Linked DNA regions of Arabidopsis thaliana. The protein of the gene in region 1 interacts with the protein of each later gene in a pairwise test. Each region holds a gene or a part of one and is shown in the gene's direction. Other genes may lie near its edges. The genes, in order: MBD10 and HSFA1D.

Evidence for each region.
Region 2: the proteins of MBD10 (region 1) and HSFA1D interact in a two-hybrid assay, tested with the Arabidopsis thaliana proteins (one large-scale study listed by BioGRID).

What each region holds. Positions count from the first base shown.
Region 1 is NC_003070.9:5,275,104-5,279,747, reverse strand, and holds MBD10 (methyl-CPG-binding domain 10), read left to right. Parts: upstream 1-1,878; 5' UTR 1,879-2,273; coding exon 2,274-2,336; intron 2,337-2,761; coding exon 2,762-3,853; 3' UTR 3,854-4,132; downstream 4,133-4,644. Other genes in the region: AT1G15350 (DUF4050 family protein), read left to right, coding at 262-266, 559-803, 894-984, 1,073-1,142, 1,214-1,267; AT1G15330 (Cystathionine beta-synthase (CBS) protein), read right to left, coding at 4,249-4,539, 4,613-4,644. UniProt on the Arabidopsis thaliana protein: Probable transcriptional regulator. Required for nucleolar dominance that consist in the silencing of rRNA genes inherited from one progenitor in genetic hybrids.
Region 2 is NC_003070.9:11,656,237-11,662,131, reverse strand, and holds HSFA1D (heat shock transcription factor A1D), read left to right. Parts: upstream 1-1,660; 5' UTR 1,661-1,897; coding exon 1,898-2,185; intron 2,186-3,605; coding exon 3,606-4,762; coding exon of another isoform or gene 4,763-4,766; exon of another isoform or gene 4,767-4,854; coding exon 4,855-4,867; 3' UTR 4,868-5,168; downstream 5,169-5,895. Other genes in the region: AT1G32337 (uncharacterized protein), read right to left, coding at 10-48, 198-317. UniProt on the Arabidopsis thaliana protein: Transcriptional regulator that specifically binds DNA sequence 5'-AGAAnnTTCT-3' known as heat shock promoter elements (HSE).

The sequences.
Region 1 (4,644 bases):
ATAAAGGAAGCGACTTTATTTTAACCAACGAGATTTTATCATCAGGTAAGCAAAGCTGTTTGATTCGTTGATTCTTTTGTATATATTGAATATGTTTTTGTTCGCTGTTGATTGGTTTCTTCTTTGGCTTTTATCTATAATAGGGTTGGTTAATTGGTTTGTTATTTGACAAGGATCATTGATCACCCTCTTGAGAACATCTCGAGCTTTCCCAGATCTATCTGAGCTCCTGGGTTTATAAATCGCTTCCTTCACATATCGATGGGGTGCGTTTCTTCTTCCGATTTCTGTTTTTGACTTTATGCAGAATGTTTTGGTATTTGATTGATTTGGATTTGAGATTCTGTTTGATGGGCTTTGTTCCTGCGTTATGTGCTGCTTGGGATTCATGTTCATGATAGATAAACCCTAATTTTATTGCTGGGGAATGGTGTTTATAAGGTTGTTTTATGCAGATGAGATAGCTATCTCTGAAAGTTTTATAGAAAAATGTTTTGCTAAGGAAATAAGGATGTTTTTTGGGCAATGATCAAAAGTTATGGTTTTGTAACAGAGCAGTGGCTGCGTGGGTTGCTACAGAGAACACAGATCAACTGCCGCCAGTCTGAAGGATCCACCTTCCAATTCCATTGCTCGACCGTGTAAGAAACCGAGTGTCTCTGAAGATTTCTGGTCAACAAGCACAGTTGATATGGACAACATCACCTTCCCTTCACAGGGGAGCTTATCATCATCCAATCAGACTTTTGATTCTCAATCTGCTGCTAGAAACTCTAATGCTCCTCCTGAATATGTAAATCAAGGTACTTTCTTTTTTGGATTTCACGGAAGGGGAGCGTTGTGGTCTAGTGTTTTGTGATGGTTATATATGAAGTGGGTTTGTGTGTTTGCAGGTCTTCTTCTTTGGAATCAGACACGGGAGCGTTGGGTGGGAAAGGATAAACCCAACAACCCGGTGGATCACAATCAAGGAGCCAAGTTAAAGTGAGTGGCTCTGTTACACACTATTGTTTGCTGAAAGCTAAGGGCTAAAGTCTGGCAATGTTACATTTTATATGTCTATCATTTGCAGTTGGAACACAGCAACGTATGATAGCTTGCTGGGGAGCAACAAGTTATTTCCCCAACCCATTCCTCTCACCGTAAGTAATCAAACTCCTCCGAGTGCAGGAAAAAAACCCAGTCAACTAACTGTGTTACTGATTGAAAACAGGAAATGGTGGATTTTCTAGTGGACATTTGGGAACAAGAAGGTCTATATGACTGAACAAGACTTGGAAGACACACACACATACTGGTTCGGGCATTTCTGATTTATTTTTTCTTTTCGGTTTTCTTTTCTTTTCTCAAAGCCCTTGTTGTTACCACTTATCATCTTCCATTTGGAGTTGATCGAGAATACTGGGAAATGTGGCTTATACGTTTTCACCGTAAATGAGAAATATCCTTTGTTTACCATCTTTCAGTCCAAAAGAATTAAGAGCAATATCTCGGTTTGACTAATCAGTATCTTAATATGGGACATGTTCTTGTGTATTTTTGTTTTGTTTTGTTAAGGACATGTTCTTGTGTCTCATGTCCCACTTGCACATTGATCCTACCTTCCAGGTGATCTGTCCAGTGTTTGATTTCCACATATATGTACATTTTATTTTAATAAAATGATTAGAGGACATTCCTTAAATTAGTGCTCTTCACTAATTATTAGGGATTAGACTTGTGCCAACAAGAGAATCTGAACCTAAAAGTATCAAAGCAAAAAAAATGTTCCGAATAGTAATTGGGCTGTTGATTTGGGCTTTTAGCATGGAGAGTAGTAGTAGGAGAGTGGGAATAAAACAGAAAAAGAATATTCGGCGTGAAAACAGCAGCGGTCACGTACCGGACCTCAACACCACTCTCCATTCTACTTTATTAAGCGGGAAACAGATACTTCCTTATCCATCGATGAAACGTCGACCACACTGGATACGTGTCGTTCTCAAAGAGGTCTGTCACTAAACTATCACGTCGACCCAGTGTAAATTTATCATCCACGCTCTCGTGGATTACGTGGAGGAAGAAATATCATTTCTTGTTTGAAATAAAAAAAGAATAAAAAAAATTAGGACAGAACAGAAGAGACACGCAAACATATCCATTAGGGTCACAACGGTTCTTACAGCTTCTATTACCAGAAAGGAAAGAAAGCCGAAATTTGTTTCAAGATAAAGTAATTTAAGTTGGAGCTTGTTTCTTGGTCGTACAGTGTCAGGTGAATAGAGAAGAAGAAGATGGAAAACACAGACGAGCTTGTCTCCATTGAGCTACCAGCTCCAGCTTCATGGAAGAAACTGGTATTTCTTCCTTCTTTGTCCCTTCTACTGTTTCTTGAAATTTCTGCTGTAATTATTATTCCTTTTTTCCTTTAATTGATGTTGTCTGTGTAAGAGATTGTTTGTCTGTTCTGCTTTATCTTGAAGTTAGTTTCTTTTGTTTCTCATGGTTTAGGGTTTATGTTCAATTTGGGGGATTTCAAGAAATGTTCGTTTCTAGTCGAATTTGGGGCTCTTTGTGTTCAATTCATTTTGAATTATCCAATTAGATGGGAATTTAACGGTTAGGGCTTTCTTGGAGGTCAAATTAGGGTTTTGGATTAAATACTCTTGAAACCCTAGATTTGGTTGATTAAATTTGGGGGTTTCTCTTAGATTGTGCCTTGTGTTGCTGCTAGTTCATGTATCTTTGGTGTTTGATTAGTAGAAGCTTGTTTTGGTTTCAGTTTTATCCGAAAAGAGCCGGTACTCCGAGAAAGACGGAGATTGTGTTTGTGGCTCCAACGGGTGAAGAGATTAGCTCGCGGAAGCAGTTGGAGCAGTACCTGAAGGCCCATCCTGGCAATCCTGTCATCTCTGAGTTTGAGTGGACAACTGGGGAAACTCCAAGGAGGTCTTCAAGGATCAGCCAAAAGGTTAAGGCTACAACGCCTACTCCTGACAAAGAGCCCCTCCTGAAGAAGAGACGATCTTCTCTCACGAAGAAGGACAATAAGGAGGCTGCTGAGAAAAATGAAGAGGCTGCTGTGAAGGAGAACATGGATGTTGATAAGGATGGGAAGACGGAAAACGCAGAGGCTGAGAAGGAGAAAGAGAAGGAGGGAGTGACAGAAATTGCAGAGGCGGAGAAGGAGAACAACGAGGGTGAGAAGACTGAGGCTGAGAAGGTGAACAAAGAGGGTGAGAAAACTGAGGCTGGGAAGGAGGGTCAAACGGAAATTGCAGAGGCTGAGAAGGAGAAGGAGGGTGAAAAGGCTGAGGCTGAGAACAAAGAGGCAGAAGTTGTGAGAGACAAGAAAGAGTCCATGGAAGTGGATACCTCTGAGTTGGAGAAGAAGGCTGGGAGTGGAGAAGGAGCTGAAGAACCTTCCAAAGTTGAAGGCCTCAAGGACACTGAAATGAAAGAGGCGCAGGAAGTTGTTACTGAGGCTGATGTAGAGAAGAAGCCTGCAGAGGAAAAGACTGAGAACAAGGGCAGCGTGACAACCGAAGCTAACGGAGAACAGAATGTAACCCTGGGTGAGCCTAACCTTGATGCAGATGCTGAAGCAGATAAGGGAAAAGAATCCAAAGAATATGATGAGAAGACGACAGAAGCTGAGGCGAATAAGGAAAATGACACTCAAGAATCTGATGAGAAGAAGACAGAAGCTGCAGCAAATAAGGAGAACGAAACCCAAGAGTCTGATGTCAAGAAGACCGAAGCTGCAGTAGCAGAGGAGAAGAGTAACGACATGAAGGCAGAAGACACAAACAGAAGCTTGGAGGCGAATCAAGTTCAACAGCAGCAGGGAGCTGCAGCTTCCGTGAGCTGTTAAAACCTATATCGTTCTGTACAGAGCACAGAGCGTGAAGAGTTTGTTGTGATTTCAGGTGTAGCATTAACATTATGAGTGGTTGTTGTATGTGTTGGTAGAACTAATGTCTCTCTATGTTGTAGTTCAGTCCATTATCATTTGACGTTTGTATCTTTGTACCTTTGTACTTTGTTGTATTATTAATATTAGGCATTTAGACTGTCCTTTGTCTCATACTTAGACGAGTGATGCAAAGTGAATGAATCCTAACACCCAAGTCCCAAAGCAGAAGATTGCATGGTAAAGATTAAAAAGTTAAAAACAAAGTGAGCTTTTTGATTACAAAAGAGTAGATCTTACAAAGTAGAACATTACATAATAAGATAAAAGAGGTAAAAACACAGAGAGCTCGTTGATTACGAAAGAGTAGATCTTAGGGAGCGTATGATATCAGTGAGGGAGACGACTCCTTGAAGCAGACCCTGTTGATCCATCACCCATACTCTGTGCACTCCTCTGGTCACCACTTTCTCTATAGCTTCCTCCATAGTCGACTCCACACCGCAACTCACCACCTCCCTCTCCTTCCCCGAAGTTTTCTCGGTGAACTCCAGAGCTGTGAGTGGCAGCCACGTTTGCAACTCCGGTAGGCGACATCCTTTCAAATCAGTTGCTGAAAACGTACCTATCACTTTTCTATGTCTCCCCTGCAATCTCAAAAAACACAAAATGAGTAAACATTATATATTAACCAAAGTATATATGTAAAATGAAGCCTACATTGACTAGCTGCAGATGATCCTCTTGTGCTA
Region 2 (5,895 bases), 6.4 Mb from region 1:
AACACTGAATCAGCCATTGTCGACTTGATGGATTGTGTTGATTGTTTTCTGGTGTTTATAATTCCCAGATTGATTTTAAGATGAGCAATTGAAAGAACAGTAATAGAATTGGATAAAACTTATTTAATAATTGAGATGTTGATTTTGTTTAATTGGGTTGTTCTTTTGTGAATTGTAAAATTCATGCGGAAGCTCACCTTGATCTTCTCTTTCTTAGCCATATTCTTAGCAACGATTCCAGTTTTCAGGTCAATGTCGATGTTAACGTTATTAGCAATTAGAATGCGTTTAAAATGCTTTGTTGAATATCTCTTCATTAGTTACGACAAATTTGTATGTGGATTCAAAGTAAATCTAACACCCATCGTAACAATCAAAGAGAGAGATAAACTATTTTTTCAAATAAACATAATCTGGAATTCTATGGGAAGAATGGAGAAGACAAGACCGACAGCAATTTTGTTTTTTTTTTTTTTTTTTTTTTTTTTTTTTTAAGAAGGTATGACATATAAAGTGATTTGGTATCAGTTTGAATGGATTTTTATCGGGTTTGGTCAGAAAACCGATTAAACCCAAATATATGGGGAAATAGATGAAAACTATCGATTTTGGGAAATATAAATCGAGAAGTATCTTTTCGGGGACATCTGGATTGTGGTCATACTTAGGGCTCTATCTGGCATGATGTCATAGTTATCATGGAGAAATAGACCGTTTGACCGACAACAATTTTGTTTTTTTTTATTTTTTTTATTTTTTTTTAAGAAGGTTTGACATATAAAGTGGTTTGGTATCGGTTTGAGTGGATTTTATAGGGTCTGGTCAGCAAACCGATTAAACCCAAATATATGGGGAAATAGATGAAACTATCGATTTTGGGAGATATAGATCGAGAAGTATCTTTTCGTGGACATCTGGATTGTGGTCATTGTTCGGGCTCTATCTGGCATGATGTCATAGTTATCATGGGAAAATAGACCGTTTTCCTATTACAATACATATGCCGGCAAAAAAAAATACATTTCTATAAGCTAAACCGACAAACAAACATATTTTCCGTAAACAAAAATAGATACAAATGGAAAAAACCTAGAATAAAGGAAAACATTAAAACTAAACAAAAACTTCTCAACCTCATAACTAAAGAACTCATAAATAAAGTACAAAATCTAAATATGAATTGAAATAAAATACAGATATGAAAGTAGAGATCCACATAGAGGAAATAAAACCATGACTTTATTTTTTAGACGATGTATTTAATATAGTATTTTAAGTGATTTGTGTAAAATTTACAAATCATATATTATTTAATTATGAAGTTAAAATTTTTTAATAAAATTTAGTGTTATTAAACTAATGATTTAAAAATCTACTTTTATTATTATTCAAAATAGTTTGTAGATTTAATTATTATTATTTTTAAAAGATTTGAAAAAACTTTGTTAGTTACTAATACATAAATCTCTGATGGAATTTGAAAAGATTGTAAGACAAAATAAAATTTCAATTTATTATTTTAACGAATTAAAATCGATACTCGTGTCAGGCTAGTCAGCCCAAAAAGAAAAAACAGAGCGTAATAGCGAATAATATAGTGACACGTAATAAATCATCCGCTTTTAAGAGAAAAAGCGAAATGTCTAATTCCGTAATTTCGTAAGTGTTCATGAGTCTCCCGTCGTCTCTCTTTCGTCCTCTCCATCGATTTCAAAATCTCTCTTCTGATCTATATCTCTCTCCGCCCATATCTCTCGTGAATGTTCTCTGAGAATTCTCTAGATCTTCAATCAAAAGTTATCTCTCTCTCTCACCTATTGTAAAAATCACCAGTTTCGTATATAAAACCCTAATTTTCTCAAAATTCCCAAATATTGACTTGGAATCAAAAATCCGAATGGATGTGAGCAAAGTAACCACAAGCGACGGCGGAGGAGATTCAATGGAGACTAAGCCATCTCCTCAACCTCAGCCTGCGGCGATTCTAAGTTCAAACGCGCCTCCTCCGTTTCTGAGCAAGACCTATGATATGGTTGATGATCACAATACAGATTCGATTGTCTCTTGGAGTGCTAATAACAACAGTTTTATCGTTTGGAAACCACCGGAGTTCGCTCGCGATCTTCTTCCTAAGAACTTTAAGCATAATAATTTCTCCAGCTTCGTTAGACAGCTTAATACCTATGTAATCTTCTTCCCTTTCCCTTCGCCTTTTTTTTTTACTTCATCATTTCTCGATTTTATGGATTTTGTTCCATTAATGTTGTTCCCATGGTTGCTTTATGTTTCTGAGCAGAGGAGTTTTGTATCCATTAGAATCGATAGTTAGTTTCATGAGTATGCTTTTTAGAGACTACTTTATTTGCAATACTTGATATCTTGTGATTGTTTAGTTTAGAACCTCACGGCTTTGAAATGATAGATATGTGAGAGCGTTGATGAAGCTGACTGTACATACAAACTTAGGGGGATGAGAATAGAGATGTATACCCTTTTTTTTTTGTCTTTGTTGTCTGTTTGACTCTCTGTAATCAGGTTTAGTAATAGTCGTAAGATAGTAATAAACCTTCCTGAATTTTCTCAGCATTCATTATAAAGGAGAAGAAAGAAGAAATTTGGAATAAGAGAGCAAGTCTCATGTTGATCATGACCTGAGTGCAAGGTTATCAACTTTCTGTTTTACTAATCTATCATTTTGTTGTAGATGAGTCAAGGTTTAGTGGAGATATCTCACGTCTTTGAAAACCTTAAAAGGCCAATGTGATCAGGAGTGCCTGGAATAGAAACTAGATCTTAAGTAGATATATGGGTGTTTAGTGTTGGAATATCTATATTGTTATTAGTGTGACTTTAAATCTTTATCTGGCATGTCAGTTACGGGAACCATAGGTTTGCTCTGTACGGTTGCACTTAGATTAAATACTTTTTATTCATATAGGCTGGATGGAGATTTTATTGTGTATATAAGTAGATAACTATATAAGCTTTGCTCTAAAGGTCATGGTGAATGGAGCTTGTACTGCATAATATTTAGAGCAGGATGCTCGTGATGCTGCAAGATGGTGAATGCACTTAAAGGAGCTTGAATTTTCTGCTGACAGTTCTTGTTTGCCAGTTATTCCTTAGTTACTGTCTGTGTGGTACATGATGTCTTACATGTTGGGCACTATTTGAAGCAAAATTCAATCTTTATGAGTTTATACCATGCAGACTTTGACATAAAGATTACACTGGTAGATCATAGATACTTTTCACCCTCTTAGTTTTCAGTTATCCCTATTAGATATTTTGGTTTTTCCTCGGTTTGGGTGGTAGGTAAGACCCATAATAGGAACATAAATAAAGTAGTTTTCATGATTCATATATTAAATTGACCATGATTGGTCATTTACTTGACTTCTGAATTAAAATTGCTCTTGATGCATGTGCCAACTGATCAGTTACGTCCTGTATATGGCTGTTTCAATCTGTGGATAGTTGGCAGTTAAAAGACTATGTGTTGAAGGTTTTAGATTTGCACTTCTAAAGCTGTCGGATGAATTCTTTCTCATTGGTCTTGGTGGAATCCATTTTCATTCCATTTTGCGTGTCTTTTCTTGATACAGGGTTTCAGGAAGGTTGACCCAGATAGATGGGAATTTGCGAATGAAGGTTTTTTAAGAGGTCAGAAGCACTTGCTACAATCAATAACTAGGCGAAAACCTGCCCATGGACAGGGACAGGGACATCAGCGATCTCAGCACTCGAATGGACAGAACTCATCTGTTAGCGCATGTGTTGAAGTTGGCAAATTTGGTCTCGAAGAAGAAGTTGAAAGGCTTAAAAGAGATAAGAACGTCCTTATGCAAGAACTCGTCAGATTAAGACAGCAGCAACAGTCCACTGATAACCAACTTCAAACGATGGTTCAGCGTCTCCAGGGCATGGAGAATCGGCAACAACAATTAATGTCATTCCTTGCAAAGGCAGTACAAAGCCCTCATTTTCTATCTCAATTCTTACAGCAGCAGAATCAGCAAAACGAGAGTAATAGGCGCATCAGTGATACCAGTAAGAAGCGGAGATTCAAGCGAGACGGCATTGTCCGTAATAATGATTCTGCTACTCCTGATGGACAGATAGTGAAGTATCAACCTCCAATGCACGAGCAAGCCAAAGCAATGTTTAAACAGCTTATGAAGATGGAACCTTACAAAACCGGCGATGATGGTTTCCTTCTAGGTAATGGTACGTCTACTACCGAGGGAACAGAGATGGAGACTTCATCAAACCAAGTATCGGGTATAACTCTTAAGGAAATGCCTACAGCTTCTGAGATACAGTCATCATCACCAATTGAAACAACTCCTGAAAATGTTTCGGCAGCATCAGAAGCAACCGAGAACTGTATTCCTTCACCTGATGATCTAACTCTTCCCGACTTCACTCATATGCTACCGGAAAATAATTCAGAGAAGCCTCCAGAGAGTTTCATGGAACCAAACCTGGGAGGTTCTAGTCCATTACTAGATCCAGATCTGTTGATCGATGATTCTTTGTCCTTCGACATTGACGACTTTCCAATGGATTCTGATATAGACCCTGTTGATTACGGTTTACTCGAACGCTTACTCATGTCAAGCCCGGTTCCAGATAATATGGATTCAACACCAGTGGACAATGAAACAGAGCAGGAACAAAATGGATGGGACAAAACTAAGCATATGGATAATCTGACTCAACAGATGGGTCTCCTCTCTCCTGAAACCTTAGATCTCTCAAGGTAACTAAAGATCAACTTTAGTAGTTGTCTATCAAACTCTAACTATTCAAGTTTAATTGCTTAGTTATTTATATTATGTTTATTTCACTCAGGCAAAATCCTTGATTTTGGGAGTTTTTAAAGTCTTTTGAGGTAACACAGTCCCTGAGAGCAGCATATTCATTTTTCATACGCTGATCTTTTATTTCTTCTTTCTTGTATCAAAGTGGTTTAACATTACTGCTTCATACAACTCTCAATTTTACACAAATTCTCTATCAATATGAGAATCTGTGTCATGTTTCAGTCTCTTGTTTGAACTTTTCGCTTATTTTGCTTGAAGAAGAGCAATGCGAACTTATTAAGTCAACATAACTATTCATCTGTTCTCTTTTTTTGACATTATTAATCCTTCATGAATGCCGAATAAATCCAAACTAAACTAAAATTCATAACTTCACAATACCAAAAATTTCATACAAAACATATTGAACCGAGTCTATGTTTAGTGTAAACTAAACCGAACTATTTCAAATACCGTAAAACCTCTATAAATTAATATTCAATAAATTAATAATCTTTATAAATTAGTAAATTATTTCGGTCCCGATTTGAAACCAATGTAAAAATTGATACAACTCGGATAAATTAGTAAAATAATATTTTTTTTATGAAAATCTTATATAAATAAATGGTCTCATCAATAATATAAATTAATAATTGTATAAATTTACCAATATATATCTATATATAATATTATAAATATCATATGTAAAAAATGACTAGTTATGTTTTTCTTCAGTTTTTATTAATTTTTTGTAGTGTTGAATTCTAATATTTTACAACATCAAATTTCTATTTTTATTTTTTAAATTTAATAATTGTTTTCTACTTGTAATTGTGTTTCAGAAATACTATTGATTATAAAGAAAAAAAAACTTTTTATATCAAATTTTTTGTTAGAATTAACAAAATTTATACAATTTTATTAATTAATACCTTTCAAAGTAATAAATTTTTTTTGTCCCAATATTATTAATTTATATAGGTTTTACTGTAAACAGAAAATTTGTAAGAAAAAATAAATCAAGTATTTTTAAAAAAGTTATTAAATTTTTAAGCCTAGTCAAAAGTAATAAAAATTTCAAAACTGA